Linked DNA regions of Mus musculus: all the other regions are reported to be linked to region 4. Evidence: microRNA targets listed by miRTarBase, many of them from high-throughput screens and not tested one by one. Region 4 holds a microRNA gene; each other region holds the end of a gene's coding sequence.
The links. Region 4 holds the annotated microRNA mmu-miR-297b-5p (AUGUAUGUGUGCAUGAACAUGU, at 2,313-2,334, shown strand). A microRNA usually pairs through its seed, bases 2 to 8, with sites in the 3' UTR of a target mRNA and lowers its output. Matches are read on the target gene's strand: a 7mer-m8 pairs with bases 2 to 8, a 7mer-A1 pairs with bases 2 to 7 and ends in A, and an 8mer does both.

Region 1 (4,520 bases), not on the chromosome of region 4:
AAAATACCTCAGATCTATCTTTTCTATAGGATGCCACATTATCTCATCATGATCAGCACCATTAGCAGTCCTGTGCTGTACAATGTACTGGGAAAACTGATGGTGACTTTGTAATCCCAGGCCCCTCCCTCCTCTGGCAGCACATTTGGCTCAAGGATAACCCTTTCTCTCAAATCAGCCTGAAGCTCCCACTCTCAGTCGCCAGATCTGAACCTTTTATTTATACTTTTTCTGGCACTACTCTCTGCCCAAGTGCTTCTACCTCTACCTGAAACCTCTCCAGTTGCATGGTCACTTCTGTAACCCTTTCAGAAATGAGAGAATAGACTTTTCTGGTTTCCCATTTTATCATTTTTATTCCTTCATTTCCATTCACAACTTTTTTGTTTTGTTTTGTTTTGTTTTGTTTTGTTTTTCGATAGACCATTCACAACTTTTCAAACTGCTCAGTCATTCATTCTCTCAACCTTTGTTGAGCTTTGAGACAGGACATGAAGAAGGAGGAGGAGGAGGAGGAAGAGGAAGAGAAGGAAGAAGAAGAGGAAGAAGAAATAGAAAATCCTCTCTGGGAGCAAAGTAGTGGGGGAGGGAAAATCATGTTTCCCATTCTGCCTAGTGCCCATTTGGCGCCACTTATTACCATAACTATACTTTTTGGCTACCATGGGTTCTTTTATCTACCACTCTTATTCCACCCCAATCCCTTTCAACCCAACACTAGGTAGACAAGAAAGGTTAAAGGGAAAAGGAGGCATAAATCGCTCTCTTTTTTAAAAAAAGATTTATTTATTTATTTATTTATTTATTTATTGTATACAAGTACACTGTTGCTGTCTTCAGACACACCAAAAGAGGGTGTCAGATCCCATTACAGATGGTTGTGAGCTACCATGTGGTTGCTGGGAATTGAACTCAGGACCTCTGGAAGAGCAGTCAGTGCTCTTAACCGCTGAGCCATTTCTCCAGCCTAGAGGCATAAATCTCTTTAGACTACTTCCTGCTGATTATTAGCATCAAGTTCCTTGGGACAAGTCCAATCTTCAGGATATCTCCAACCAGCAATCCAGCAAACAGCAAAAGCAACAGTAGGAATCAGCCTGCTGCAGCAGCCCCTGCAACCTCTTGGGGCTCTGGCATTTTTATACCCTATCAAAAGTCCCCAGAATTATGTGCTGCCAGAGCACAAGAAAAATCATAGCTGGTTGCTGTTGACAATCTAAAGCAGCCCTATATCCCACACCTGGGATTAAAACAAAAACGTGTTCCTATAACATATCTGTGTTTTTAAAGAAACCAAAATTCTCAGTACTTTCCATATAGAACTCATAACAGCACAAGTTTTTCTTAATTAACTGTGAAGCCAACATACTCACCTGGGAATGCATGCTCTTTCTAATTAAAGATGATAGAGCTATTTTCTCATGCTCTAAATGCTCACCAAGTAGCTGAGGCAAAGCCTGGGAAGGAAAGCAGGGCTAGACTAAACCATGTGAACCCTGCTTGCAGAAGCAAGTGTACTGGAACCTGCACGGGCTGCTTGGTGGTGCTCCAGGTGAGTGCCACACTGTCACCCACATGCACGGTGCTGAGGGCACTTAAAAGACTCCTGTTGAGGTTTGTAAATACCTGCTTAAGAGCAGTGCTAGTTTTAGTGTGTGTTAAAGCTAAAAGATGAACAATGATTCTTTCTTTCTTTTTCTTTTTCTTTTTTCCTATTTGTCATCTATCTATCTATCTATCTATCTATCTATCTATCTATCTATCTATCTATCTATCTATCTCTATTGAGACAAGGCTTTTCTGTGTAGCTCTGCTGTCCTGAAACTCTCTATGGACCTCCAGGCTGACCTCCAGCACAGAGATCTTTCTGCTTGCCTCTGCATCCCAAATGCTGTGATTAGGGGGTGCACCACCACCACCTAGCTTAAACAATGATACTTTCAATGAGAATAATAGACAAAGAAAACCTGAGCAAGTAACCGATTCTGTGACAAGGCCTCACTGGGTAGGTAGTCAGTCCTACTTGGCCTGGAACTCTGCAGCCCAGGTTTTTCACCAATTCACAGAGATCCTCCTGCCTCTGCCTCCAAAGTGCTGAGATTAAAGTCTGTGTACCATTACATCTGACTTCAGGGGTGGCTTTAATTTTTTTCCTAGGTTCCCTTATTCACTTATTGAGAACTTGGGTAATAATAGCTTTGTTTCCAAACAACCAAACACCAAAACAGCCCAGGGTGGTGGCACACACCTTTAATCTCAGCACTCAGGAAGCAGAGGCAGGCTCTGTGAGTTTTAAGCCAACTGGTTCTACATAGGGAGTTTGGGACTATAAAGGGCTATACAGTGAATCTCTGTCTCAAACAAACACAACACAAAAGTCTGTATATTACTTTGAAAAATAGTCATACCTTTAATCTTGGCCAAAAGTCTAAGTCATAATGAAAAAAATCTATATGGAATTAAACAAGATCATGAAACTGAAAATGTAATGATTTTAGATTCCCTTTAATGTTAATACAGTGGAAAAACAATTACACAAAGTTGTGGGGAGTCATTGGTATAAACTGTTAGTTACAAATAAAACCACTGCTGGGCGGTGGTGGCGCATGCCTTTAATCCCAGCACTTGGGAGGCAGAGGCAGGCGGATTTCTGAGTTCGAGGCCAGCCTGGTCTACAAAGTGAGTTCCAGGACAGCCAGAGCTACACAGAGAAACCCTGTCTTGAAAAAACAAACAAACAAAAACCCCCAAAACAAACAAGACCACTAACTTATGTAGCCAGAAGCTTGGGCCCTGTCTCCTCCAGCCCATGCTGATTTTTAATCCCCAGCTTCCATAGCCCCAGGTGGAGTCTGAGCAGGATCATCCTTAGGAAGGAAACAACAAGTAGCAGAAAGACAGAGCTCCAGTCTCCACATCTACCCTGCTTATTCTCAAAATATGCGTGGAAGCCACCCACAGTCGCAGAGTCCTTTTCAGAATAACAGGTGTTGGCAAAACTCAGCTTATTCTCAAAATATGCAGGGAAGCCACCGACAGTCACAAAGTCCCTTTGAGAATGATAGGTGTTGGCAAATCAGCCAACAGGCCAAATGTAGTCTGCTGCTTGCTGTGAGAGACCTATGAGCTATGAACAGTTTACATTTTTAAACAGCTACACTTCAAATTAATTTTTATTTTATGTGTATGAGTGTTTTGTCTCTCTCTGTGTGTGTGTGTGTGTGTGTGTGTGTGTGTATGTATGTATGTATGTATGTATGTGTGCGTATGTATGTGCCTGATGCTGGCAGAGGTCAGAATTAGACACTGGATCTCCTGGAAATGGAATTACAGATGGTTGTGAGCTGCCATGTGGATGCTAGGAATAAAATTCTGTCCTCTGGAAAAATAGCCAGTATTCTTAACTGCTGAACAATCTCTCTATCCCGCCCCACCTTTTGTTTGTTTTGCTTCTGTTTTACTCTTTTTGAGACAGGGTCTCACTATATTATCTGGGTTGGCCTGGAATCTTTCTATGTAGATCAGGCTGCTTTGGAAACTCAGATCCGCCTGCCTCTGCTTCCAGGGTGCTGGAGACTAAAATTGTAAACCACCATGCCAGGCCTTTAAATAGCTCCATTTTAACTGGCTATATATAAGTTCATGTATAATGTCTGTAATTTTACCCCTTCAAACCCATAAAGCTTAAATCATTTTCATCAGACCTCCAAGGAATAATTGCTACTTTTTCTAACCCCCAACAGGGAAGGAACATAGTGACCAGTTAGGGACTAACCAAGCCCTCAGTGCTGAGGCTAATTGCCTGGGCTTCCGCTCTGGCTTGGCTGTGCCTCTGGTTGCCAGGTGGCAACAAGCCCCACACTCCTCCTGGGAGTGGGTTGGGCTCTCCAGATGAGTTGTTTGTAGTCGAGGGGACTCCTGTCAGAGAGCTTCTGACGCTTGGGCCATACCTTGACGTCGGGGGCAACCCCATCGCTCACGAAGGCAGAAATGCCAAACCAGGGCTGCACAGCTCAGCAGAGCTAAGGCTGTGCCCACTCCCACGGCTGCATAGACCAGGGTAACAGGCTTAGGCGGCATGATAAACTTGCGACAGGGCCCAAAGGAAGGGCCAGTCCAGTTCTCAGGACCCTCGACTTCTGCCCCAGGAACATTGCTCTCACCTGCGTCATTAGCAGCCACCACGCAAAGGACATAAGCAACCCCAGGCTTTAGTCCCTTCAGCTCTGCTCTTCGAACTGTAGCATTGAGAGGGGCACTCTTCTGTGGAGCCCCGTTGCTTTCCCAAAGCAGAAGCCAGTAGTGGCTGACTGGAGAGAAGGGAGCACACCAGTGAACCACTGCGTAGCCTTCTTCAGCCATTATTTGCACTTCTCCCAGGCGAGGAGGCTCTGGCTGTTGATCTTCCCTGGAGAGCCCTGGGCACAGGCAGGCTACTGGCCCAACCTTCTGCAGCTCCTGGCAGGACACCTGCAGGTGGCGGCAACGGTCATAGTCGCAACGGACAGCTAAGGAAGGTG
Region 2 (4,520 bases), not on the chromosome of region 4:
GGGACCTATGCCCAGTTAAGATTCACTTATGTCATTTGCCCCGAGGACTGTGTTTATGCAACCCCACTGATATCAGTGACAATGTTCTTCATCCAGACCCTTGGAATTGACACATCATGTAACATCACGGGGGCTTGGGGAGGAGGGGTAAGGATGCAGCCATTCTGTAAGCATGTGGTTGCAGATGGTGGTGTGAAGAATCTTACCCCATAGGCACCTGTAATTGCAGGAAAAGTGATGCGCCACAGTGATCATCCCAGTGAGAGTGCTCATAAGCATCCACAGGGGACATGGGGTGCCATCCTAGCAGACACACTATGGGCTATAGCAAGGCCTCCATGGGTGAACTGGAGACCACAGAGACGGGAATGAGTTGAATCCATAGGCTCCAGACTTGGAAGGGGGCTGATGAAAGCCACAGACTCCTGCTGACATCTGTTTTCCTCTTCTTGTTTGCACCCAGCATGATTTACACCTTAGTGAGCTCCTAACTCAGACCCTGCTGATGGAGAGGCCGAAGCTGGGAACCACTGCGGCTGTGGCTAGAGGAGCACCAGATGGGGATGACGGAGAGACCCAGATGGCAGAGACCGAATGAAAGGAACGGGAGTCATACAGCAGTCAGAGCCATGTTACCCACGTGTGTCTGTTTCTGCCTTCGCATTTCACATCCCACATGGGTTGCAGGGCCCCTCTGAGCATGGGCGTGCCAGCTTGTAGCTGATGAAACACTCAACCTCTGGAGATGCCATTATTACTTCCTTCATCCACTTCACTGAGCAGCAGAACTGTGCGAGTTTCACATGGAGAGCTCGTCTGGATGGTAGAAATGAGGCCAGATGCTGGCAGGTGTCGAACAAGGGACAGAATGGCTCAGGGCCAAGGCCAGATCTTCAGGGATGGCTGAGACCCACAGGGACACCATGGGCTGCCCAAGACTCTTGTCATTTTTTTTCCAGAGCTGTGGTCACATGCTTTGCTCAGTGCAAGGCAGAAAGCTGTGGGGACTGCCCTGAGCCACCTCTCACGTCACTTTTACGCTCTGTGTCCAGGAGCCTGGGCTGTGGCTTCCTGAGCTGGGTGTGGCAGCAAGCCCTGTCCAGTGTGAACTGGGGAGGGGGAGAAAATGGATTTCTAAAAATGTCTGCAACATGTCCCAGGTGTGAGTTCTTCACCCTCCCAAGATGTATTCTGCCACTGTGCCAAAAATTCATCAGAGTCATTACATGCCAATCAGCTGGCTGGCATGAGCCAAAGCAAAAAACAAAACAAAACACCAAACCAAACCAAACCCCTCAAAATAGTGCGAAGCCCAGAAACAGAGAGCTGCTCTGTGTGTGGGTATGGACAGCCAGGAAGTGAGACAACACAATTATCACATCCATTGATGCTTCACGGCCTTTGTGCTCCTCAGTTCAATGTGGGGACATCGCTTATTTAGAAATTTCCACTTGACTTTTGCTCCTTTTTTGGGTGGGAGTTGCAGGACAGGTGTAAATACTGACAAGGCTGAGTTTTTATGATGCTTAAACTGGGCACAATGATTTTAACCTGATTCCCCAAACTGCCTTGCTTTCTACCATTACACACACATACACACACACACACACACACACACACACACACACTATTTATATATGTACTGGTTCCCATCTGAATTCTGTGACTCAGTTTTTTGAATGGTGTTTGTGTAACACATTGTGTGCTATGTTTAAGATGCAGCAACAACTTGAGTGGCTCACCTCATCTCATTTCAACCCACCCCCGGGGTATCCATATGGTTGGCAAACTAGTAGGTAGAAAAGCGTTTTTAAAAAGAAACAGTGTTTCTTAAAAAAAAAAATTACAGAAAACAAAATAGAGAGAAAAAAAAAACTTGCAAGAAAGAAGAAAAACAAAAGGCTGCTTTTCTGAGGGGCCAGCTGTATCAACCACAGCCGGTTCGGGAGAATGCAGTCTAGGAGGACAGGGAGAATGCGGTCTTTCCCTTGGCAGGAGCTCTTACTACTGAGGGTAACTTGTTGAAGCTACACAACCTCAGCTGGGTACCTTTCCCAGGGATGGCTAGTCACATCAACAAACAGTGGAGGTCTGAGTGTCAGGTGCAAAGCTAACACCGTCATCATCTTGAAAAAAAAAGAGAGAGAAAGAAAAGGAAAAGAAAAGAAAGACATGGAGAACATAAGGAAAGGGGTCTTCTTTCCTCTCTTCAGGAATCTCTTTTACACTCCCCTCTTCCAAAACTGCTTAAAGTCGTTTTTGACAGGAGACACCAATATCAGAGATTGTTAATGTGGACTTGGGACATTCGAACCTACAAAGGAGGTCTGTACCATATCCTAACTTCCTGAGTGGTCAATTTAACATCATCCCTCAGCAGTAAATGCTTCATACGGCAGGACTTTACATCTTCTAGACCACTTTCCTAGCACACTGAACCCTCCACTTGGCCCTCTTGTTTTCTGCTTTAAAGTGGGGGAGTTTATAAGGCCTGCCTATGAACCTGGTAGCCGACTTTAAGAGAACATGACCTTTCTGTTCCCACCAAAAGCTTTGACTTTTATGAGGAAAGATTTTAAAGCAGAGAGCTCTAGCTAAGGGACGTGCGTGGTGGTTTAAGGGGATGCGTGTGAGAGATTCTTCCCTTAGTCCTTTGAAATCCTTAAGCATTGCTGATGCCTCTTGGGCAGGTCCTACCTTTATGAAAGAAAAACATTCAAAGCGTTCCCTTGCCATCCGTTGTGATTGGAAAATAAGTCCGGTGATCTCATGGGAGTTAGAGCAAATCCTCGGTTCCCCAGGAGAAGTTCATTTTCTTGATGGTAAAAATAAGCAAGATGGGGCTAGTGGCAGAGCACAGGTGTGTGCCAGGCGCCACAGTCAATGGGAAGAGCTGTTTCCAGATGTGCACAGCTGGTCCGAGGCGGGGCTTTAAAACCATGCAGCTGGACCTATTTCCACAGAGTTTTGCTTGTTTGGCTAACATTCTTTCGTTGTGCAGCTCATTTAAGGAAGGAGGGAGCAAGGCAGGAGAAATGCCTTAAAGTTCCCAGAGCCTCAAGAATCCAAAGGAAGTGTTTTTGTTGAGCAAGTTAGAACCCATCTACTGAACTGGATACTTTAGGGGTATAGCATGTGCCAGTACTGGCCTGGAAGTATGGGCCCTCTTCCCCTGCTGTGGCCCTGTGCTGCATGTGACCTGGATGATGGAGAGTCACAAGGTCACGTTTCCCTTTGCTAAGGTGAGAGAAGAATAACAGGCTCAGCCCCAGCTTGCTATAAGGATGGTGTGACTTCATGTCCGCTGCACCTGGTACTCTAGAGAGGGAACTGTGCCCTGTTCTCTACACTCTACCCAATGCCCCAGCTTCCTGCCAACCACTCGACTGATACACATCTTATTCAGTCCTCACAGTGACACTATGACTGTCTTTAAATGATAGTTGAAAGCTTTGATACAAACCCTACAGAGGTCAAGGACCCCAGCCAAAGTCAACACTTGCCAAGTTGTCAACCTGAGTCATTTTGCTTCTGGGACCTTGATGTTTCTGTATTCTCAAAAGAGCCATGCAGTGCAGGAAGGGTGAGGGGATGTGAAGGAAAAAAGAGTAAGAGAGAATGGAGTGATGATGGACAGGGCAGGGGCTGAGCAGCAGGCCTCCCAGGACTCACAGCAAGTGACCTGGAGGGCCTGGCTGCAATGAGAAAGTCTGGGGCTGGAGAACCGTGTGGTGCTTCATCTTTTCTGAGACGACTTCTCATCTGTCACATGAGGTGTGTACCGCCTCCCACGGCTGTGACAAGTCAACTGTGTCTAGGGAGCTCATAGCAGAGAGCCTGGCTCTACAGTCTTGTCCCAGGAAATCTCATTCCTGGTCCTCCCTGCACTGCTCCTCCCTCTGTGCCAGATGATTACATGGGGGGGGGGAGGGGGAGGGGAGGGGAAGGGGAGAGGAGGGGAGGGGAGGGGGAGGGAAGGGGGAGGGGGATGGTGGAGAACAAACCTAGCTGTGTCTCATAGGAACGCAGAGCACTGTTCACCAAGTCTCAGCTTTCTTCCTGTCCTCTCCCCTTCCTGGGGGTGGGGTGAGGGAGTCACTGTCCCAGCCGTGCAACAGGGGTAACAGCTCAGCCTCAAGAAAAGTATCCCATTTGCTCCCTATTTTTAGGCTTGGTAATTGCACCAATGTTGAATAAAATTGTCATCGTTATGACAGTTTTATTCTCCCACGTAAGAGATGAATGCAGCCAGCAAAACGCTTTGACAACAACTAATTGTACTCACTGTGTTATCACGCAGATACGTTCTATAGCCCTTTCTTTTTTGGTGGGGAGGGGAGCTTTGGCCTGTTCTGTTCCACACTGTGCTCTGGCTTGTGACTCTGTGTAGAACCTCCCCCCGTTCCTCAGAGCCAAACCGGCCATCTTTCCCATTGCTTCTGCTCCAAAGTTGAGCCCCAAAGTGAAGTATGGGAGATGGGTAAGGAGGGACGGACTCTAGGTTGCTCTTATAACAGGAC
Region 3 (4,520 bases), not on the chromosome of region 4:
ACTCTCCTCCATCAGAACTGTATTTAATATTGTTTTCTCACAAAATCTTTGGCTATTTTACAGAAATGTATTTTACCAAGACTATTATTGCTACCCATGAAAGATATTTAAATGTTACTTTACCATGAAATACCCATGTGTTTTGTACCAACTCTTTCAAATATCTACATAGTAAAAAGTCATATTTCCTCTCTGCTATTTTAATTGCTACATCGTTTTCTGAATCCAAAATATTAAATTACAAATGGGAAAATATTTGATAATATTAATAGCATTTCTGTGATTTCTTGGTACTTAGCGTTTCAATGTGAAAGTGGCAATAGACAACTTATAATCATATACATAGCCATTTTGATATTATAATACCTAGGAATGTAGTATGAGGTCACTAAAGAAGTGCAAATGTCCCTTATCTGCTCTAACATTTACAGAGAGATGAAATGATATATATGCTTCTGTTTACCCAGATGTCATTTTTTTTTTTGTAGCTATTGTTGTGCTGTATGTAGCACTGAGGAGGCAGAGGAAGAAAGACACCCTTATGACCTCTAAAGAAGACATCAGAGACAATGTCATCCATTATGACGATGAAGGAGGTGGGGAGGAGGACACCCAGGCCTTTGACATCGGGGCTCTGAGAAATCCCAAGGTGATCGAAGAGAACAAAATTCGCAGGGATATAAAACCAGACTCCCTCTGTTTATCTCGTCAAAGACCACAAGTGGAAGACAACACAGACATAAGGGATTTTATTCACCGAAGGCTACAGGAAAATGACGCAGACCCAGCGGCTCCACCATACGATTCCTTGGCCACTTATGCGTATGAGGGGAATGGCTCAGTGGCAGAATCACTCAGCTCCATAGACTCTCTCACCACAGAAGCCGACCAGGACTATGACTATCTATCAGACTGGGGACCCCGCTTTAAGGTCTTGGCAGACATGTTTGGAGAAGAAGAGAGTTACAACCCCGACAATGTTACCTAGGGGAAAAGGAAAGGCTGATACACATCTAGAGGAGAAAGTTTTGACAAAAATAACACAGATAAAACACAATCACACACATACACACACACACACACACACACACACACACTCCCAGATTTTGCAGGACAAGACTTTTTTTGATTATCCAGCTTCTAACAAGTTGCTCTATTTATCATATTGTCATTTTGGTTTATTATGTAGGCACAAGGTAAATCCTATGATATGTACTTGCTTTGTTTTGTTTTGTTATTTCAGAAACACACTGAGACGAGCTCAGGCCTATTAAATGCAATTCACTGACATGACAACCTAGAATGAAGATAGCTATGTGGCGTCACGGTGGAAGAGTGTATGATTTTTCTTAATTCCACTAAAGTGCCTATTGAAACTCTTATCCTTATAGTGGTGTTCATAACACTCCGCTGTGGTGGCTTGTCAGGAGTCGAAAATAAGGAGGAAGAAAGCAGACAGTGTCTCTACGTCAAGAAGCAATAGTGACATGCTGACTCTCAGTTCTTTTAAGAACAGAGAATGCTTCCCAAACTCTATCTTCTTATACAGCAAAGCTTTTCCTTTTGTAAATTGCAAACTAAAACAGAAAGGCTTTTCCAATCCTTTCAGAAACTGGGATAAATGAGACATTACTAAATTCCATATGTAAGTTATGATTTCTAAGAGTGATGCTTAAGTCATAGCATTCATTCATGTGAAAGATGTTAATTAAGGTGTTAGTTTTTCCAAAAAAAAAAGAAAAAACAAATAAAATTATACTGAAGGAAATAAAAAGAATCCCTCTTTATAAAGAGAGGCCTCGGGGCTCAAATTCCAACATCAAATAAATATCGGTTTGTTTAATTCTATGCTGGTATATGGACATTGGTTTTAACAAGTCATTAAATAAGTTAAGCTTTCAGTGATAGATTAAAATTTCAGCTTGTGTTTCTACTGAAGTTTCTGAAAGGAAATAAATTATTAATTTAAACATGAGAAAATTCAACATTGTCATTCTCAGAGTTTCTATCTAGTGGTTCTTTGATGAATGATTCAAACAAAATGCATATCAAATACTGTAATTTATAACAAGTATATATGCTTGTTCTATACTACTGAACAATAAGTCAGGGACTTCAAAAATAAAACCAATGACTAAAATCCCAAAGGGAACAAAACTTCAATGCCGGGCAGCTGATTCACTTTCTCTAGTGATGCGGATTTTATCATTATGAACTCAGTTATTGTATCAGCCCAGAGTCACCTCTTCATTATCTCATCTACAAATATCCTCATGTAAATTACTCCTTGTAACTCTTCAGATAAAATGTCTCCACTTTATCGAAATGTCTAAGTGATGATATAATTCATGACTATATTAGTAATAAACATTGTTCACATCAATTCAATAGGAATTATACATCATTTAGACATTCACAGGATACAACAAATGCAAATTTACCATAAAGTAATATCTATTCTTAACAATGTAGTTGGAATAACGAACAACTTCTACCTATGAACACGTTGGAAAAAATTAAAGTTAAAGAGCTGTGAATCACATATCACTAATGTCTAATTTTATAATAAATTTCTGTGACTATCATTATTATTTGTGCGGCTATAGAGATAAAACTCACACACTATGGAATCTAAGAAATTTACAAAATTAGACAACTTAATTTTAGGCATATTCTAAAATGCATATTTTAAATTATTTACGGTATAGAAATATTACCCCTTGTTTCTATGTTCACCATTTTTAGACTCTTTTTCTCCATTTTGGAATGGGAGATTCAATTTTTGTTTTCAGTCATCACTCCATACCTCTCTTGTTCCAATTTTCATGTAATAAACAAATGTATTTAGTACTTTACATTTGAGAAAAATCACTTATAATTGCCATGCTAGAGAAGAAAAATTAATGACTTGTTTCTTATTTCATTATGTACAGATAATGTCTTCTTGAAGAAGACCACACACTATTAAGACCTGATTCTTGTCAAAAACTATTACACTTTGTATCTTGACAAGAAATAAAATAACCTTCTCATGAAGTTGCTAGCAGAAGCCATGATAACCTAGAGATTTGAGAGGCTGATGATTTTAAACCACATGACTATGAAGATAGTAAAATATGCAATGTGTGGCTCTTAGTTCTCATCACACTCATATCTTTGTAATACCCTACATTACTTCATCAGCTCAAAACAAATGTTCACAGACAAAGTGAATAACAACAGTTTATTTCCTCAGCTCTGATGGCAGGTTTCCTCTTACCATCTTCTCCTGGTAGTGGAGAACATTACCTTTTCTTTCCCACTTCTTCTCATTTCTGTGCTTATTTCTGTTTCTCTTCTCATAAGGACGATCTTCATATTAGAGCAGCATCTACCCACAGGTCCTCTGTTTGCCTTGTTTAATAATAAAGGCCTTACCACCAAGTCCTATTTGGTTTGGTACTACCGCATGTGGATTCATGCAATCCCAATCTCAATATATTAACAGTGTTTATTTTCTAAATAGCATTTTAGTTACAACAATCAATGAAAGAAACATAAACAAGCAGAATGATAAAAGTAATATATGATGTGGAAAGGAGATCCTTTGGTGCTTATAATTAGAGGAACTATGGTATCTTTTAGGCTACTGAAAGGACTTAGCCCAGTATTTCAATGCCTGTAATACCTTGGGAAGTTTTTTTGTTGTTGTTGTTCATAAAACAGGTGTTGACCTTCATTCAAGCATTAAGCAATATAAAAATATTTAAAATTTGTATGAATGATTTTAGCTATATACAAACAGCAATTTTGTTATTGGCGTGCATGTCTATCTTTATAGAGATACATATGTACATGTATATATATAAAACTTATATGTTGCCTTCAATGCTACTCAAAGAAGTGTATAGTCAGCATCCAAAAGTGAAGCAGTGTTGATTGATGTACTAAAGATAATCTGTGTGTTTTGAACCATTCCCCCCTTTGACTGAAAACTTCCTATGGATCAAATTACTTGGCCTTCATTCTTTTATTTTCTTTAGTAAAACCAGTTTCCTATATTCAGTGTTGTGTACAATTAATCAGAAATTTTCTTGTCATTAAATTACAGTAATGGTTGAAGTATATCAAATAGCTTACCTACAGACTATGCTAATTTTAAATGCAAAAAAATAGATCATAGTATATATTTTTTGACTCATGTAGGGATTTGATTGATCATTTATCAAAAATCACTAGTTCTACTTAGAAAACCACACAATTAATTTTTATCAATATACCTGAAAATTCTTCTGTGAAATCAAAAGATGAAAAAGTGTACAGGAAGAGAGACAAAGGATCCTAAAATATGTGAATGCAGATGTTGTGTGAAGATTTTCTTTTTCCTTAAATATTATGCTCAATTTTCAACACTTGTAGAAAATCTGGGCTTGACATGCAGTACCATGGTGCAATAGTTAATTTGCACAAGCTCTGGGTTCTGTCCCAGGAGCCACAAATACTGGAAAAAAAAAAGATGGTGACAATAATAAACAAAAACC
Region 4 (4,520 bases):
AAGTAAACACAAGTGCACAAACAGACACAGGAATGCCATTCATCGATCCATTGGAATGATAAGTGATTTAGAGTTTTAGAGATTTTGAAGTAGAGACGGTGAATTGTCTCACTCACCAGTTGTAAACGATTGAAAGAGTCAAGAGGATCTGGAGTTCCAATTCACTCCTATGTTCAGCTAGATAGCATCCTGGTATTCATGTGATATCGCCCATGTGTGTGCATGTGAGTATAGTTGTGTGTGCATGTCTGTATTTGAATATACATAACATACACACACTAATGCAAGTACACACACACACACACACACACACACACACTCACACCAATGCCACTCATCAATCCATTGGAATGATGTGTCACTTAGAGTATTAGAGATTATGCAGTACTTGGCCAGTGAGTGCTCTCAGTCTCTAGGTGAAAATGCTTGCTAGAGTTAAGAGTATTCAGGAGTTAAAACACATACTGACCTTCATGAGGATTTAGAGATCAGCCTGTGATTCATGTGATGGCCCCATGATTGTGCATGTGTATATAGTTGTGTGTGCATGTTCATGCATGTATTTGCATATACATAACATACACGTATAAACGCAAGCACACACACATAGAGACACAAGAATGGCTTTCATCGATCCCTTTGAATGATATGTCACTTAGCATATTAGAGATTATGCAGTACTTGGCCAGTGAGTGCTCTTATTCTCTAGGTGAAAATGCTTGCTAGAGTTAAGAGTATCAGGAGTTTAAATTCATGCTTATCCTCATGAGAGATCAGCCTGAGATTCCTCCATGTATGTGCATGTGTGTATAGTTGTGTGTGCATGTTCATGTCTATATTTGAATATACATAACATACACACACACGTATAAACGCAAGCACACACACAGACACAGGAATGGCATTCATTGACCCATTTAAATGATATGCCACTCAGAGTAGTAGAGATTATTCAGTATGGGGCAAGTGAGTGCTCTCATTCTCTAGGTGAAAATGCTTACTATAGTTAGGAGTATCAGAAGTTCAAATTTATGCTTATCTTCAGCATGATTTAGAGATAAGCCTGTGATTCATGTGATGCCTTAAGTGTACATGCAGGTTTGTATAGTTGTGTGTGTATGTTCATGTGTCTATATGGATATACATAACATATACATAGACATATAAACCCTAGCGTGCACACACACACACACACACACACACACACACACACACACACACACACGAATAACATTCATAGATCCATTTATATGATATGCCACCTAGAATATTAGAAATTATTCAGTACTGGGCCAGTGAGTGCTGTCATTTTCTAGGTAAAAATGCTTGCTAGAATCAGGAGTATCAGGAGTTCAAATTCATGCTTATCTTCAGGAGGATATAGATATCTGCCTGTGATTCATGTGATTGCCACCCATGTATGTGCATGGGTGTATAGTTTTGTGTACATGTGCATGTGTGTATATGAATAGACATAACATGCACATACATATAAACACAAGCACACACACACACAGAGACACAGGAATGACACTCATCGATCCATCTGAATGATAGGTGACTTAGAGTTTTAGAGATTATGCAGTAGTGGGACAGTGAATGGTCTCAATCACCAGGTGTAAACCACAGAGTCAGGAGGATCAGGAGTTCAAATCCATGCTTAATTTCAGTTGGAGATCATCCTGGTATTTCTGTGATGCTACCCATGTATGTGCATGTGTGCTTACTTGTATGTGCATGTGCATGTGTTGATATGAATATACATAACATAAACACACGTGTATATGCAGGCACACACACACAGAAGAAATTGCATTCGTCGTTACGTTTGAATGATATATGACTTAGAGCTTTAAGAGTATGTATTACTGGGCCAATGAAACGTCTTACTTACCAGTAAAAATGTTTGTTATATTCAGATGGATCAGGGGTCCAAATTCATGAGTAATTTCAAAATGACATAGAGATCAGCCTGACTTCACGGGGTTCCCCCCAATGTATGTTTATGTGTGTATAGTTTATGTGCATGTGCATGTGTGCATATGCATATACATATACATCCATACAAACATATAGAAGTAGCACAGATACACAGACACACACACACACACCCATCAATCATTTTGAATGACAGGTGACTTAGAGTTTTAGAAATTATGCTGTGCTGGGCCAGTGAGTGCTCTTAGTCAAAAGGTAAAAATGCTTGCCAGAGTCAGGAGGATGAGCAGTCAAAATTCATTCTCAACTTCATGATGAGTCTGGGATCAACTTCGGATTCATGTGATGCCCCCAATCTATTTGCTTGTGTGTATATGTATGTGTGCATGAACATGTGTATATGAATATACATATACATACACACATACCCATACAAACATGCATACAAACACACAGAAAATGGATACTCATTGTTCTATTGAATGATATGTGTCTTAGAGTCTTAGAGATTCTGTATGACTGGGCCAGGGAGAGGTCACACTCACCATGTGACGCCCCTTGCCAGAGTCAGGGTGATCAGGAGTGCAAATTCATGTTAACTGCGTGATGAGGTAGAGATCAGCCTGTCATTCATGTGATGGCCCCTGTGTATGTGCATGTGTGTTTGTGTGTGCGTACATGTACATGTGTGTATATGAATATACATATACATACACGCACACATAGATACGCACGCACACACACACACAGGGATGGCACTCATCAATCCATTTGAATGATAAGTGACTTAGAGTGAAAATGCTTACTAGAGTTAAGAGTATCAGGAGTTCAAATTCATACTTATCCTCATGAGAATTTAGAGATCAGCCTGTGATTTATGTGATTCCTCCATGTATGTGCATGTGTGTATAGTTGTGTGTGCATGTTCATGTCTATATTTGAATATACATAACATACACACACACGTATAAACGCAAGCACACATACACAGATACAGGAATGGCATTCGCCAATCCCTTTGAATGATAAGTCATGTAGAGTTTTAGAGATTATGCAATAGGGGACATTGAATGGTCTCACCCACCAGGTGTAAAAGATTGACAAAGTCAGGAGGATAAAGATTTCAAATTCATGCTTAATTCAGTTAGAGATCATCCTGGTATTCATGTGATGCCACCCATGTATGTGCATGTGTGTTTACTTGTATGTGCATGTGCATGTGTTGACATGAATATACATAACATAAACACATGTGTATATGCAAGCACACACACACACACACAGAGAAAAAATTGCATTCATTTATATGTTTGAAAGATATGTGACTTAGAGCTTTAGCAATTATGTAGTACTTGGCCAATGAAACTTCTTACTTACCAGTAAAATGTTTTTCATATTCAGATGGATCAGGAGTTCAAATTCATGAGTAACTTCAAAATGGTGTACAGATCAGCCTGGCTTCATGGGATCCTCCCCAATGTATGTGCATGTGTGTATAGTTTTGTGTGCATGTGCATGTGTGTATATGAATAGACATATACATCCACACAAACATATACAAGCAAGCACAGATACACACACAGGAATGGCACTCATCGATCCATTTGAATGATAGGTGACTTAGAGTTTTAGAGACTGCAGTAGTGGGACAGTGAATGGTCTCAGTCACCAGCTGTAAATGATTGACAAAGTCTGGAGAATCAGGATTTCAAATTCATGATTAACTTCAGTTAGAGATTATCCTGGTATTCCTGTGATGCCACCCATGTATGTGCATGTGTGTTTACATGTGTGTGCGTGTACATCTGTGTAAATGAATATATATATATATATATATATATACATATATATATATATATATATATATATATATATATATATATAACATAAACATACATGTATATGGACACACGTATGCACACATACACACAAGGAATGGAATTCATTGATATGTTTGAATGATATGTGATTTTGAGCTTTAAAGGTTATGTAGTACTGGTCAAATGAAAGTTTTTCTCACTATGTAAAAGCTTGCCATATTCAGAGGGGTCAGGAATTCATATTCATAAATAAATTCAAAAGAGAGTAGAGATCAGCCTGATTTTATGGGGTTCCCCACAATATATTTGCATGTGTGTATAGTTTTGTGTGCATGTGCATGTGTGTATATGAATATACATATACATCCACACAAACATATACAAGCATGCACAGATATACACACACACAGAAATGGCACCCATAGATCATTTTGAGTGACATGTGACATGTGACATGTGAGTTTTAGAGAGTATGCCGTGCTGGGCCAATGAATGCTCTCACTCACAAGGTAAAGACCCTTGCCAGATTCAGGATGATCAAGAGTGTAAATTCATGTTGGTTGCATGATGAGTTGGAGATCAGCCTGGCATTCATGTGATGGCTCCTGTGTATGTGCATGTGTGTTTGTGTGTGCGTACATGTACATGTGTGTATATGAATATGCATATACATGAGAGCATACATAGACACACGTGCATGTGCGCTTGCATGCGCGTGCGTGCACACACACACACACACACACAGAGGATATGTGATTTACA
Region 5 (4,520 bases), not on the chromosome of region 4:
GGAGCAAGCAAAAAGAGTATTTTTGTCTTCCCCAAAGTTCTAATAACCAAAAGCATGTGGAATGGATGAGACTGTTAAATCCGTAGCAGATGGCATCATTGTGATGAATCATGTATGATGGGGAGACTTGCATCCATAATTTAAATCTTGCTGGACCAGCAAGATGGCTCAGCTGGTAAAGACACTTGACATCAAGCTTGGTGACCTGAGTTTGAAAATTGTCCTCTGATCTCTTCATACCTACCATGACATGCACACACACACACACACACACACACACACACACACACACACACAAATAAATAAATAAATAAATAAATAAATGTCATTAAAATGTCACTATTATATCCGTTCAAGCCATTTGATGCTTAGTGTAACATTAATGGCCAAGAGAATAGAACATTTTTGTCTTAAAAACTATCTGTTCTGACCTGTTTTATCTATATTTTCATATGTTTAATGTCTACGTCATTTATCAGTCAAGAAAATAAAAATACTGTGTATAGTCTATTTATATTTACAATATTTTAATATTTTTAAACTATGGTTAAAAATAAAGTGGAGGATTAAGGTCTATATTCTGATTCCAGCACTCTCTATGCATTACAGAGGGATCTAAAATAAAATAAAATAAAAGGAATATCTAACTTTAAATCTTTTGAGTTTGTTTCTCAGTCACTACTGCAAGAAAATTGGGACTGCCATTGGAGTATCACATAAAAAATGATCCAGAGACCACATCAAGTACCATCTAAGTGAGGAGCTTGACTGACAGGTATATCTATTATACTGACAAACTGTGCAAAAGAAAAAAAGGAGAGAAATGAAACCCCATAACCATTGTATGCTGGTTATTCAAAATGCACTTTTTATTTACTTTGACACAGATGATTTTTAAACAACTGGAACAAAATATCTTATCCACATTTTTTGAGATTTTTAGCAGCACCTGCAACAAGAGGATGGTGGAATACCTCAGAATAAAGTAGAGATGGCCAAGGCAGGCACAAAGACACCTGAAATTCATCAATCCGCTGAAGACATATGGAATCTGAAGCCCCTTGAAAGTCAATACATGGCAATAAACTAAATAAATATTTTATATGATATTTTAATGGACTATTGAAAACCAGTATACTTCTAATTAGAAATACATTGATCCCAAACATCTAGTGTTCATTAAAAACACCTATTGAAAATATTTCATTGCACATTCTAGATATACAGTCTATTTCTGAACACATATGCACAGTTCTTGGTACCAAGGATAGCAGCTTTTGGTGTTTTTAAATCTTACCCAAACTATGTCAACACCCACTGAGTGTTACTCACTAAAATGCCACTGTTTTGTCACATATTGTTAAGTGCTTGATATTGTGAAGTAATTTGGTAGAAAAAAAAGTATGGCTAAGAAGAAAGGGGCTTCGATATGCCTGCTAATAAAATGAACACTTGTCTCAATGGACAGCATGTCTATGAACTGAATCCTCACATACTTTTATTTTTACTCACATGACCACATGCCACTCTACAGAGACAAATACTTTGTGTGAGCTGATGGAGATCTTTATGAAGGCCTGAGATCTACAGATAGAAACTATTATAAGCAGAGTGCAAGTAGAAAGAGAAGGCCCCAGGTCTCATGCACTTAAAAAATAATTACCATTTATTAGTTCTGACGTACAGATTTTCACCCTAACATGATTGTAGCAAAATGACTGTAGAACATTGAAACCAGTGTGGCTGGCTATAGGCATAGGCAAGATAGGAACCAATATTTAAGAGTTGTGGGGTCCCAGTTCTGGCTTTGACTTCTGGCATCTAAATTAATTGGACAATAGGGTCAGGACTATACAATAATTAGAAATATTGAGTAAGTCTGAGTTGAAATAAATACTGTCCTACTTTTGTCTATGTGGCCAAAAGTACCAGAGTTCTTAAAGCACGTAAGGTCCCACATGTAAGGCTGATTCCATGTGTGGCTACAATGGAGAATTCTAGGCTGTATTCCTGTGAATGCTCCCACCCAATCCCAGGCCTAAATCTCTTTGGAGGGCCTTAACTAATTAACTGTCCCTCTTTACATTGGTTCATACATGTTTTAAAGCACAGATTAAAATCCATGCAGATCAACCAATTTAAAAAAAAAAAGAAACAGATGACACACTCAGAATATAGTATATACAATTGGCAGTCATGGTATTCAAAAATTGTCAAACCATTTTTGGTATGAACATTGTACCTTTGGGATATATTTTTAAATAATAGTTGCTGTTAAAGGCTAATCCCAGAATGGCTTGAGGATTTTTGAAGGCCCTCTCTATGGTCTTAACCTTTACTTTCATGTAAGTCCAACCAGGACATGGCACTGACATAGTTTATATTCAGAACGAAAGCATGAAGAAACCTTATACCAAACATGTAGCCAGTTCAGTAATTCTTTTTAACAAATAGTCAGCCAGTGACTACTTTTATTGGGAGGGAGTTCACAATTAAGGCAATCTATTCCACATTTGAACAAATTTAATTACGAGAAATTCATCCTAACACAAAGTTTAAAAAAAAAAAAACCTGCTCTTTTGCCAGTTTTAATGTCCTAGTTTGGCCAGCTGAACATCTGGTGGGACATTCTAAGAATCAGATCCTTCTGAGATCTGAGATCTGAGATCTAACAAACAACTGAGTTAAGGAACCTGTGAGAAAAGCCCATTACTCTCCAATCCTTTCTGAGGCCTTCTGCATGAGCCAGCATGGTGAATTATAGGACTGTGTAAAATGTAGGCAGAGAGCACTGCACCCGAAGCCACATACTAAGCAGCATCACTAAATTGATAAGTTGTCAAGGAAGCAACATCTCTATGCAGCAGCAGTAGACTTAATGAAGGAAAAGCAGGCCAACCATGTATTTGCAAATGTGGTTGGCATATTTAAGCGTAATCCATTCACTAGTGTCCTGTGACTCACATGGATTAGAACCAACCTCCAGTGTCATTAGAGTAATTCTTATAGAAATGATTTTTCTTAAGTTCATAAGAGAGTAAACCATACGTAAGGATTTGAACATGTCAGTGTGTTTTTATACATCTATATTCTTAATCACCACCACCTTTTTCTAATACATGTTTAGAAATTCTTGCTTCCATTATTTTCTGTAACACAGCTCAGAATCCTAATTTTCCCTTTGGTAGAAATGACATAAACTACTTGGCAAGAGTTGGTGGCCTTTGCTAGCTGGTTAATGGAACACTTTAAGCTCTTTCACTCCTTCATGCGGCTGGGTTCTAGGTTTAAACTGTGATTAAAAATACTTAAATCTCTCAGGACTAAAACTTTCTGATATGTCCTGAGCCACACAAGAAGGGAAAATAGCAGGAATTACGCAAAATACACTTGGCTCAATAAAGCTTTTTAAAAAACCGCTTTACAACTTCAATTTGAAAGGTTCTGTTTCAAAAACAGAACATTATCTTTTACTTTCATGTGTGTGTGTGTGTGTGTGTGTGTGTGTGTGTGTATGTGTGTGTGTATGCAATCACGTGCGTGCACGTACTTTCATGTATGTGTCTGTGTGTACCTGTGTGTATGCAATTGCCTGTGTGAGCATGCTTTCATGTACGTGTGTGTGTGTGTGTGCATGTGTGTGTGTGTGTATGTGTGTGTGTGTTCATACTACCAAAGAGCACAGTCGTTTTTACACAACAGACTGACCAACTTATTGCACACTTGTCAAGAGTCCCTACCTCTAACAACAAGAAGAACTTGCTTTGGAGCCACTGTTCAAATCAATGGTGTGACCTAACATACAATGTTCCAGCTGTTCCTCTACAGCTAACACCTGCCTAACAGCTTCTTCAAAGGCCACTGTCACATTAGTATCATCTTTGGCACTTGTTTCTAGATAAGGGTAATTTCCATTCTCCATGCACCAGGCTTGTGCCTCCTCAGTCGTTACTTGCCTATCCTCTTTGTCTACCTTGTTACCCAGAACCACAAAGGGGAAATGATCTGGGTCCTTTACATCTGCATAGTAGATGAACTCTTTTTGCCAGTTACCAAGGTTCTCAAAGCTCTGCCGGTCATCCACACTGAAGGTTAGCAGGCAGCAGTCGGCTCCCCTGTAGAATGGTGTTCTAAGGCTCTTGAAACGTTCCTGCCCCGCAGTGTCCCAGATCTGGAGGGTCACAAAGCGTCCATCTACCTCCAGATCTCGATTTAAGAACTCTACCCCTATCGTGTGAAAAGCCTGGGAGTCGAACTTGTTGGTTACATAACGGTTCATAAGTGAGCTTTTCCCAACTCCTCCATCACCCAAGAGGATGACCTTTAAGAGAAGGGATTTCCCACTCATGTTGCAGCACCAAACAGGGAGAAGTCTGCAAACAAAAAAAACCTGCAAATACATAAACAGGTAGGAAGGAAAATTGTTAAACTCAAAACAAATCAACTTCATAGCAAATGTCCCTGAATTATGAAGCCCCTGACAATGTACTTACATAATCATTACTTGACTTAAAACACAG
Region 6 (4,520 bases), not on the chromosome of region 4:
CTTCCTGCCTCTGCCATCTTCTGCGAGCTGGGGTTTCAGGCAGGCACAACCTAGTCTCACTCTCTTCCACTACCTCTTTTTGTTTAGTTTCACATTTATTTGTTTATTTGTTTTGTAGGGGTGGTGGGTGCAGGTATGCTGTGGCATGTTTGGTGGTCATAGAACACCTTGCTAGAGCCAGTTTTCTCCTTCCACCCTGTGGGCTCAGAGCTTTGAACTCAGGTCATCAGCCTTGATAGCAAGTAACCACTGGGCCAATCTTGCTATCACCAATTCTACTATTGGGGCTGGGCCTGTGATCTCAGCTCAAGAAGCTGAGCAGGAAGATTGCATGAGTCCCAGGCTATGGAACGAGGCCTGGGTCAACATATAAAAAGCAAAAGACTGGCAGGTAGGTATGCAATTTTGGGTGGCGATAGTCATGGGACTGGTGTCCCAATTGCTGTGGTCATGACCTCCATTCTTCCTCGTTCAGTGATCTGTTTAGTGATCTGCATGAATTACCACCAGCCCAGGGACTGGACATTGTACCTGAGCCTCACGCATGCTAAGCAAGCACTGTACTGAGCTAACCCATCAGCCTGCTAGGTGTCTTACTGTCAAGCATCTTCCCTCACTCCCTCTGTCTGCCTCTGCAGGCCAGGGAAGGGCCTTTCTATGTATCCCATTGGGCAACACTGTGGTTTACTGACTAGGGCAATGAGTTACATCAACTGACTCAGAACTGCTCAATTAAGGGAGAGCGAGCCCACACAGGCTGTGGTTCCTGTACAGACCGTGCACCAGCTAACAGACAGCCCAGAGGAGAGAAGGCTCTCTCTCTTTTTCTTGAAGTCTTCATTTTTGCTTTAGATTTACTTTAGTTTTATGTGTATAAATGTTTTACCTGCGTGTATGTATGTATGTATATATGTATGTGCCTGGTGCCCACAGAGGTCAGAAGAGGATATCAGATCCTCTGGAACTGAAGTCCTAAAGTCACACATGGTTGTGGGTGCTAGGAGTCAAATCCAGATTCTTTGCATCTCTCTCTCTCTCTCTCTCTCTGTGTGTGTGTGTGTGTGTGTGTGTGTGTGTGTGTGTGTGTTTCTTTGAACTGAAGGATTTCAGGTTATAAATTATTTCAGGAAGAAATAAAAGTAAAAACCACTCATTTGCAACTCCATGAAATATGGTAGCAGACAACGCATGCAGGATGGGATTGCTGCTTTGGGAGGGTTACCAGCAAACCTTACAAAGATTGCTGTACCACCTCAGCCCTGTGCTCAGTCTCTACACGGAAGGAGGGCAGGCTGTGCGAGCGTGGGGGAGCAGTGGGCAGCACATGGAAAACATGAGGCACCCCTATTCTCCCAAAGAGGTGTCTGAATGCAGCCAAACCTTCAGAGGTGGAGGGAGATGTTAGGTGACTCCTTCAAGGGCCATCCCACGGGACAACCTGCTGTTTTGTCTGGATGGCACAAAAATCAAGCAACCTACTGAACAAACAGAAAGGTTAGGCTGCGACAGATTAAAAGAGTGGCAAAATCAGCAATCAAAGCCAGCGTGGTGGCGCATGCCTTTAATTCCAGCACTTGGAAGGCAAAGGCAGGAGGATTTCTGAGTTTGAGGCCAGCCTGGTCTACAGAGTGAATTCCAAGACAGCCAGGGCTATACAGAGAAACAACCCTGTCTTGATAAAATACAAACAAAACATAAAAGAATCAGGAATAGATTTTTTTCTTAGGTCCTGATTTTTGCTTTTGTTTTAAATTATTTTATTTTATGTGTATGAATATTTTGCCTGATTGTATGTCTGTGCACCACAGATGTGCCTAATACTTGTGGAGGCCAGAGGGTGTCAGGTCCCCTGGAACTGGGGTTACAGTTGCAGCTACCCTCCATGCTGTCTCCCCAACTTGAGAGCACAAGGCCTCAGCATGAGAAAAAAAAAATGGCCAAAAAACCAAACCAAACCAAACCAAACCAAACCAAACCAAACCAAACCATGGTAACATCAAATTTGCAGTTAAACATGGATGTGGCCATGCTTAGTTAGAACTGAGGATCTGAAGCACTGGAGATATCGTGTATTCCGGGCTAGCCTGGGCTACAGTATAAGACCTTGATTCAGACCACAAACTAACAATCAATTGTGAATGTTGGCCTGTCTTGGTGGGTTATATTGACAGTCCTGGTTCTGAGGCAGGAGGATTTCACGAACTGGAGATCAGTTAGGCAATATAGTAAGAGTCACCTTCAAACAAACAATTTTGAAAATTTCTATTAGCCAGGTGTGATGGCATACTCCTGTTATCCTAGCCCTCGGGAGACTGAGGCAGAAGGATGCCCATTTGGAGGCCAGCCTGGGCTACATAGTGGGTTCAATCCACTTTAAGATACATGACAGGATTTTTGCTAAAAATGAAGTCAACACGTCTCTAATTTTTTTTTTTTTAGAAAACCTGAACATTTGTATTTCTGTGTGTGTGTGTATGTGTACACGTGTGTCCATCTATCCATGTGTGCCTGTGTATATGTGTGTGCCAGTGCGTTTGTGTCTGTGTATATGTGTGTCAAAGTGGGTCTGTGTACCTGTGAGTCGATGTGTACATGTGGGCCAGTGTGTATTTGTGTACCTGTGTCAGTGTGTACGTGTGTGTCTGTGTGTGTGTGCACATGCATGCACTGATTGAGGCCTTGTGCATGCTGAAGTGTTTAGCACTGGGCTGCACTAGCAGCCCCTAGAACACCGTACAAACTCTGGATAAAATGCACAGGATCCCTCACTGCTGACATACAATGGAGCTATACCTCTATCACACAGAACAAATGATCTTAACATTTCTTAGAGAAGAAATGTCAAAAGAAATATGACCCTCTAATTGAAATGAACGCAGCCCGAATCCCTCAGACCTTAATATTCTTTTTTTTTTTTTTTTTTAAATTAAAGCAGAGACAGCAAGATGGCTCAGCTGGCAAAGGCACCTGCCCCCAACTCTGACACCTGAGGTCATTCCACAGGACTCACAGCGTGAAGGAGAGAGACAACTCCAGTAAGCTGTCCTCTGACCTACAGTACGTACACCTTCCTCTCAATAAACACATACCCCCCCCCCCAAGGACTGAACCCAGAGTCTTAGGCGTTCCAAGTACTAGCTCCACCACTGAGCTACACCGTCAGTCCAGCGAGTGCGGGGTTACAGGTGCCCAACATGCTTAGCGTCCATCTGGGCTCTTTCCACGTGGAGAAGGGCTTTGCTCTCCCACACCTGCAGCAACTGCTTGCTCCTTTCTCACAGACTGTCCTTCCCATCTGGTTTTACACATCTGTTCCCTATTTCCTATGCCACCCCATCTTAGAAATATAAAATATAAACACGCCCCCCCATCTTTGACACTTGCAAACAGCAGCAGCCAGGATGGAATCTAGGGGTTTCTGCTTCCCAGTAAGTACATCGGCTCCTCTTCCAGCTGCCTTCCTGTCTCTCCAGGAGGCAATTGGGAAGGCGTGAGCAGACAGAACCACAGACTCCACAAACGCTTTTTCTGCATCAAAAATTTTAAGTTACAAATATTTCGATTCATAAATAATCAAAGGTGCACACGTAGGTGTGCTTATCCTTGCTCTGAAAGGACACTCTGCCCTGGGGACTTTCAGCAATCACATCTAGTACCTGCCTTTGTACCCTAGGACACCGGGCCTTCTCAGTTCCCTGAGTTCGTATCTGTTCATCTCTCCAGGGGGAGCCCCTCCCCCATCCTGTCCCAGAAAGGCACAGCTCCGTTGTCCTGGAAGAGAATGGACAGGGGCCATCCCCAGCATACTGGAAAAAAGTGCTCTTGGTGACGGAGGGACTTCCTGCCCCGAGAGGAAGCTGGGTGTTAAGTCATAACGAAGAGACTTCCCTGTTGATGAGAAGTTGCAAAAGGTCAGAGTTCAGAGGAAGAGCTGTGTTTCAGGCACCCTCTGCAGATGGTCCAGAGAGCTGTGAAGTCAGCGACCAGGACTTGGTGTCCTTTGGGCACGGGGCTCAGAGCGTGCCGTAGACGCTGATTTTGACCATGGAGATGCTCTCGGTGTACCGGTTCAGGCCTTTCTCGTACAGAACGAACAGCTGCGGGGGCTGCTTCTTTCCATCCGTGCTGTTTTCCAGGGCTGTCAGGGACGAGTAGCCGCTGGGTCCCGGCCACACCTGGACCCTCTCCTTCTGCCAGGATGTACCATTGCTGAAACTCCAGCGCAGGGTCAGGTTCACTCCTAGGAGAGCAATAGTCAGAGGGAGGAGGGTCTCTGCTCTGTCCAGGACTTGTTCAGACGGGGCGCCCCCCAACCCCCACTCCACCCTCAGGCACTCACGGAACTCAGGGTGGGCTGGATTGGAGAAGAAGACAATGCCGGAGCTGGTGGCTAGTGCTCCTGCAGCTACCACAGGGTCCACGAGCTCAGGGTCGAAGGTCACATCCCGGGGCCTGAGGGTGTCACAGGCGTCATAGCTGCGGAGGACGATCCTGCAGCGGCAATGGTAGTTATTCTGGTT
Region 7 (4,520 bases), not on the chromosome of region 4:
GAAGGCCAAAATGGGGGGGGGGGGAGGTACTGAGAAGGAAGTTGTTGTGGTCTTGGAGATGTTATATTGGTGATAAAGCCCAAAGGACAGAGCCCTGGCTCAACCTGGACCATGTGCACACAGGGGACAATCTAGTGGCCTGTGGCCAGGAATACCAAGGCTGAAGGCCCAAGGGATAGACATAGGCTTCCCTCCTGAGGTCCAGATGGCATGTGCTCACTTAATCACATGATGGTTTACTGAGCACCTACTATGGCCAGACACTGGGCAAGGCACAGGGAGTCATGGGAAAAAGGATAGACTTCTGAGAGTTAGGGAAAAGTAAATGCTGGTATGGACCCATCTGCACTATAATGAGAGTTTTGAATATGAAGATGCTACTGGAGAGATCCTGCATAGATCTGGGTCACGGAGATGGAGGGTTATCAGGAACAGCCTTCTTCAGGAAGAGCTTTGAGTTTGTTCTGTGATAACCAGTCAGCCAGGGGGAAAGACAAGAGCTGATGCCCAGGCAAAGGGGAGATCTGTTAGCGAGAGTGGGAAGTACCTGGATACCAAAGCAAAGACTGAACCTAGAGACAGAAGGAATGGGATGAGGTAGGGACAGGACCAGATGAGCCCAGGAAAGGACTTGGTCCTAAATGCAGGGGATGTTATGGGGAACGGGGGAGATGCTGACATAGGGCACCTGTGTGGTGGATACTGTAAAACTAAGCCACAAGCATCCTGTCTTCTTCCATCCTGTGACACAGACCGACCTGGGGTACAGGATGCTAAGCTGGTTGAAGCCATTCAGGACCGCCTATCCAACACACTGCAGACCTACATCCGCTGCCGCCACCCGCCCCCGGGCAGCCACCAGCTCTACGCCAAGATGATCCAGAAGCTGGCTGACCTGCGAAGCCTCAATGAGGAGCACTCCAAACAGTACCGTTCCCTCTCCTTCCAGCCGGAGAACAGCATGAAGCTCACACCCCTTGTGCTAGAGGTGTTCGGCAATGAGATCTCCTGACCAGGGTGGCCTGCAGTGGTGCCTGGGTAGGGCCGCTCCTCTGGGGCCCTGTGCCCAGGCCCTGGGCTGGTTGCAGCCCAGCAGTGCCTCCTGCCCCTCCTGGAGTTCAGCTCCTCCTCTGCCGTGGCCCGTGTCTGTCTGGCTCATCCTTTCTCCTGCCCAGCCTCACACCTGATCTCCCTTTCCTGTAGACTGCAGGTTGCTCCTGTCCCTTGAGATCTCAGTTAGGAGACACTGCTGTTTATTTGACAAAGAAACTCAAGTGTGGGATGGGGGGAAGAGGGTAGAGGGCAGAGGCTGAAGGCAGAGAGCTCTGCCTAGGGAATGCCTCCGCCATAAGGGGCCACTGCTTGTGTCAAGGGAGGCAGGCAGAAGAGATGAGTCCATTCCTCAGGGACAGGTACCTGTACCTACCCCGATTCCAAACCTACCTGCCTGGTGAGAACTCCTGCCCCTGCCTACAAAGGGTACACAACCTACCCATCATCCCTAGTGTGTCCCGTCTCCTCCTGCCACCTGTCTGTATTATTCTGACCCAGGGGAGTCAGTCACTGTGGGGCCTCCTTCCTCTGCTGGTATACTCATGGACTCATTCACTGCCAAGATGACCAAATACTCTACCACACTAACCAAGGAGCCCTCCCTAGCCCTGCAGTTCCCACCTTTGAGGTTTTGTTATGGTAAGTCCCCAAGTCCAGTACCTCTGGTAAAGTGGACTTCTTCCCCCATCCCTAGAACCAGGGACCTAGAAACCACCATTGGAAAGTCCCCAGGGAATGGAATACAGAGCCCAAGCAATGAGGAGCAGGCAAAGCCAGCCTCCCAGCAGGACAACAAATGGAGGTCCATCTATCTTTGTCACCAAGCTGAGGTGTCTGAAGCCTGGAGCTACTGGGACCCCTCCTCTCCTCTATAGCTATTAGATGTGTCAGGACCAAGTTGACCCCAACTTTCAGAACGTCCCTAGCCCTGTCTTCATCCCTTCCCCTGCCAGTGCCTTACCACCTACCCAGGAAAGCAGGTCCTTGAGCCACCCAGGCCTTACAATTTGATCACCAAGAGTATCCCAGAAGTTATCTCAGCTTCTCCATCACCCCCACTTGGAGCAACAGTGTCACATCTCCACCCCACTTACCAATAAAAGCTACCCTTTCCACCCAGTGGAATGGGATGGCAGAAAACCAACAGTGGCCCAGATGGACCTCCAAGTCTGCTTTTCAGGTGTAAAGCCAGACATGAGCTCTCCCACCTCAGGGAAAAGGTAGAGGGGGCAGGTTAGAACTTGTGGTACAGTGATATTGGTCCAGTTCCTCCTGACTCTTCACTCTACCACCCAAAAGTCAATGTAGACCTACGAAACGGTCAGGTGATGGGCTAGGGACGTATCTTCAAACTCCATTTCTTCCTCTGTAGTAGCCCAGTCCAGGACTTTGGAACCCTGGTCTCATTCACCCCAAATATACTTCTTGCTGATCATGCGTTGTGGGGGTGTGGGGGGACCCATGCAGAGGAGGTTCTCTTCATAAGGGGGACTCACAGAAGGACCTTCCAGTGAATGTTTGACCTAGGGAATGCAGCCACACTGGAAGCACCAATAGAGGGCTAAGGTCAGACGGAGCATGGCCCCACGAGCCCCAGATTCCCTGAAAATCCTGAGATCAATCACATTTAACATCAGAAGAACCCTTAGTGTCCACCTGGCCCTATGTTTCCCAGAATTCAAGCGGAAAACATCTGAGAATGGCTTTCCCATATTGCATTACGGCATGCAGAAGGCTTTATTTTAAAGTCATTCCATCAGAGGTGTTCTCAGAATTAGACCCCACCTGTACTGTGTTCTAACACTGAGGGTGGTGGCACCTGATTCAGAGCAGTGTGTGTGTGTGTGAAAATACTGTATATTAATGATTATTGTTACTGCACACACACACACATACAAAAAAAAAAAAAAAACCCTAGAGAAAGACCTTTGATTTTAGCAGCAGAACACATTGATCTGGCTTACTACTCAACAGGAGGGAAAGTCTGAAAGTTGATAAGCTAGTTCGACTCCTTTATAATGAGAACCTGACATCAGAGGAGAGTGTGATTTACCTGGGCTCATATAATTAGAAGCATCTCCAGGCCTGGAGAAAATTTGAACTTATGGTCCCGGGCTGCTTTGTAGTGAGCCTGTTTCCACTGCTCTGGTAGCTGAGCCAGGCTATGAGGAAACCCTGGATATCAGCATAAACCTATGTCTGGGACTACGATCCCTTTTCCCTGGGTAATAAACTCAGCCACCCATCCTAAGGAGGCAAGCACTTGGCCTCTTTGAGTGAGACTTGGCTTTAGGACTCTCTGCATCAGCCTTGTGTGCATCAGGCACTGGAAAGCCTCTGTCTTCCCAGCCCTTGCCTCTCCAGGAAACTCCACAGGCCTCCAGAGAATACCAGTTTCTCAGCCCAAGGGGTCCATCACTGAGAAGTGCCCAAAGGGAAGTCAGGGAGCTGGGAGGAAAAGACAGCAGGACCAAGTAGGATTCCGAAGCCGAACTGGGAGAGAACAGCATCATCTATTTTTATTCTGAATGTACAAAGGCAGGGCCTTGAAAGAGCTCACACTTCCGAGGCGGAAATGGGTACCAAAATGAGAGATCAGCAAGATTTCCCAAGATAGGAGAATCCTCCTGCTGCCTGCGTGGGAGAAAGTAGGGGAGGAGTCCAAACCAGGCCACCAGAGATGGTTGAGATAAATGACAAATCTGGTGGAAGTCAGACATGGCTCTAAAGAGCTTCCTAAGAGACTTCCCGAGAGAGAGACAAAAGTGTTTGTTTGTTTTGTTTCCAGGAGCTTGTCAAATAAACCAATGAAAAAGCTTTGCCGATGATAATAAAAGATGCTCACACTTTCATAGCGCTTGCTACGTGACAAGTACCGCTGTAAATAAATGCCTCATGAAAACCAACTTGCTTGCTCTTTGTAAGGACCCCGTGAAAGATGCGCTGGTTTTGTCTCCACGTGGCGGAGGGGATTCGTCACCCAAAGCTCACTGGTGGTGAGGGAGGGGTGGGATTTAGACCCGGGTACCTCTCTCTGGAAGTCTTAATTAATTGCAACATTCTACTGCCCCCTACAGAGTTAAGTGGTGTGACAAATGATAGGCCCTCTTGCTACCACCCTAAGTAGGATGTGAAGGCTTCCGTTCAGTGATGGGGAAATGGAGGTGCTGGATCACAGAGTGCTCCCCCACACACACACTAGAAGTATTTGGCCTAATGTGTTAGCCCCAGTTAGGTGTGGCCCTTGCCAAAGAACATCAAGAAAGAAAGCCAAGTGATCACTGGTAACATTAGCTCTTGCGTTAGAAACTGTTGCTCAGCCCAGACTCAGGGTGTTACAGTAACCCCTGTGCACAAATACGGCTCCATGAGGCCCAGTGGAGTGAGATACACACAAGAATTCTCAACCAAGGACTTGGAATTGCAAATGTCACTGCCGAGTCCTACCCAGGTTTTTTGTTTGTTTG

Region 1: miRTarBase lists Lrrn4cl as a target of mmu-miR-297b-5p. Seed matches in the 3' UTR shown: 7mer-m8 at 3,269-3,275, 7mer-m8 at 3,255-3,261, 7mer-m8 at 3,251-3,257, 7mer-m8 at 3,247-3,253, 7mer-m8 at 3,243-3,249, 7mer-m8 at 3,239-3,245 and 1 more.
Region 2: the mRNA of Cnih3 is a reported target of mmu-miR-297b-5p. Seed matches in the 3' UTR shown: 7mer-m8 at 1,591-1,597.
Region 3: miRTarBase lists Cdh12 as a target of mmu-miR-297b-5p. Seed matches in the 3' UTR shown: 7mer-m8 at 1,064-1,070.
Region 5: miRTarBase lists Rab9b as a target of mmu-miR-297b-5p. Seed matches in the 3' UTR shown: 7mer-m8 at 3,648-3,654, 7mer-m8 at 3,556-3,562 and 7mer-m8 at 3,512-3,518.
Region 6: miRTarBase lists Neu1 as a target of mmu-miR-297b-5p. Seed matches in the 3' UTR shown: 7mer-m8 at 2,472-2,478 and 8mer at 1,788-1,795.
Region 7: miRTarBase lists Vdr as a target of mmu-miR-297b-5p. Seed matches in the 3' UTR shown: 8mer at 2,944-2,951.

The regions. Positions count from the first base shown.
Region 1 is chr19:8,851,781-8,856,300 of GRCm38, reverse strand. It overlaps Lrrn4cl (LRRN4 C-terminal like), which reads right to left. Exons shown (of 2, transcript NM_001013019.3): 2 at 2,392-4,520. The coding sequence ends at 3,922. Among named protein-coding and RNA genes, the nearest start is that of Lrrn4cl, 3.3 kb to the right of the region's middle.
Region 2 is chr1:181,458,762-181,463,281 of GRCm38, forward strand. Cnih3 (cornichon family AMPA receptor auxiliary protein 3) reads left to right here. Exons shown (of 6, transcript NM_001160211.1): 6 at 464-1,880. The coding sequence ends at 491. Among named protein-coding and RNA genes, the nearest start is that of Ccdc121, 50 kb to the right of the region's middle.
Region 3 is chr15:21,585,494-21,590,013 of GRCm38, forward strand. It overlaps Cdh12 (cadherin 12), which reads left to right. Exons shown (of 12, transcript NM_001008420.2): 12 at 489-4,040. The coding sequence ends at 988. Among named protein-coding and RNA genes, the nearest start is that of Gm41278, 410 kb to the right of the region's middle.
Region 4 is chr2:10,509,374-10,513,893 of GRCm38, forward strand. It overlaps Mir297b (microRNA 297b), which reads left to right and starts at 2,294; the gene lies at 2,294-2,402. All of the region lies in intron 10 of Sfmbt2 (Scm-like with four mbt domains 2), which reads left to right. It overlaps Mir669a-2 (microRNA 669a-2), which reads left to right and starts at 791; the gene lies at 791-887. It overlaps Mir466d (microRNA 466d), which reads left to right and starts at 2,594; the gene lies at 2,594-2,689. It also overlaps Mir669m-1, Mir669m-2, Mir669c and Mir466n.
Region 5 is chrX:136,857,302-136,861,821 of GRCm38, forward strand. It overlaps Rab9b (RAB9B, member RAS oncogene family), which reads right to left. Exons shown (of 3, transcript NM_176971.3): 3 at 846-4,390. The coding sequence starts at 4,348. The coding sequence ends at 3,743. Among named protein-coding and RNA genes, the nearest start is that of Rab9b, 9.0 kb to the right of the region's middle.
Region 6 is chr17:34,934,325-34,938,844 of GRCm38, reverse strand. It overlaps Neu1 (neuraminidase 1), which reads right to left. Exons shown (of 6, transcript NM_010893.3): 5 at 4,340-4,520; 6 at 1,548-4,240. The coding sequence ends at 4,014. Among named protein-coding and RNA genes, the nearest start is that of Neu1, 5.3 kb to the right of the region's middle.
Region 7 is chr15:97,853,864-97,858,383 of GRCm38, reverse strand. It overlaps Vdr (vitamin D (1,25-dihydroxyvitamin D3) receptor), which reads left to right. Exons shown (of 10, transcript NM_009504.4): 10 at 753-3,957. The coding sequence ends at 1,012. All of the region lies in intron 1 of Gm33690 (a long non-coding RNA gene), which reads right to left. Among named protein-coding and RNA genes, the nearest start is that of Gm33690, 8.6 kb to the right of the region's middle.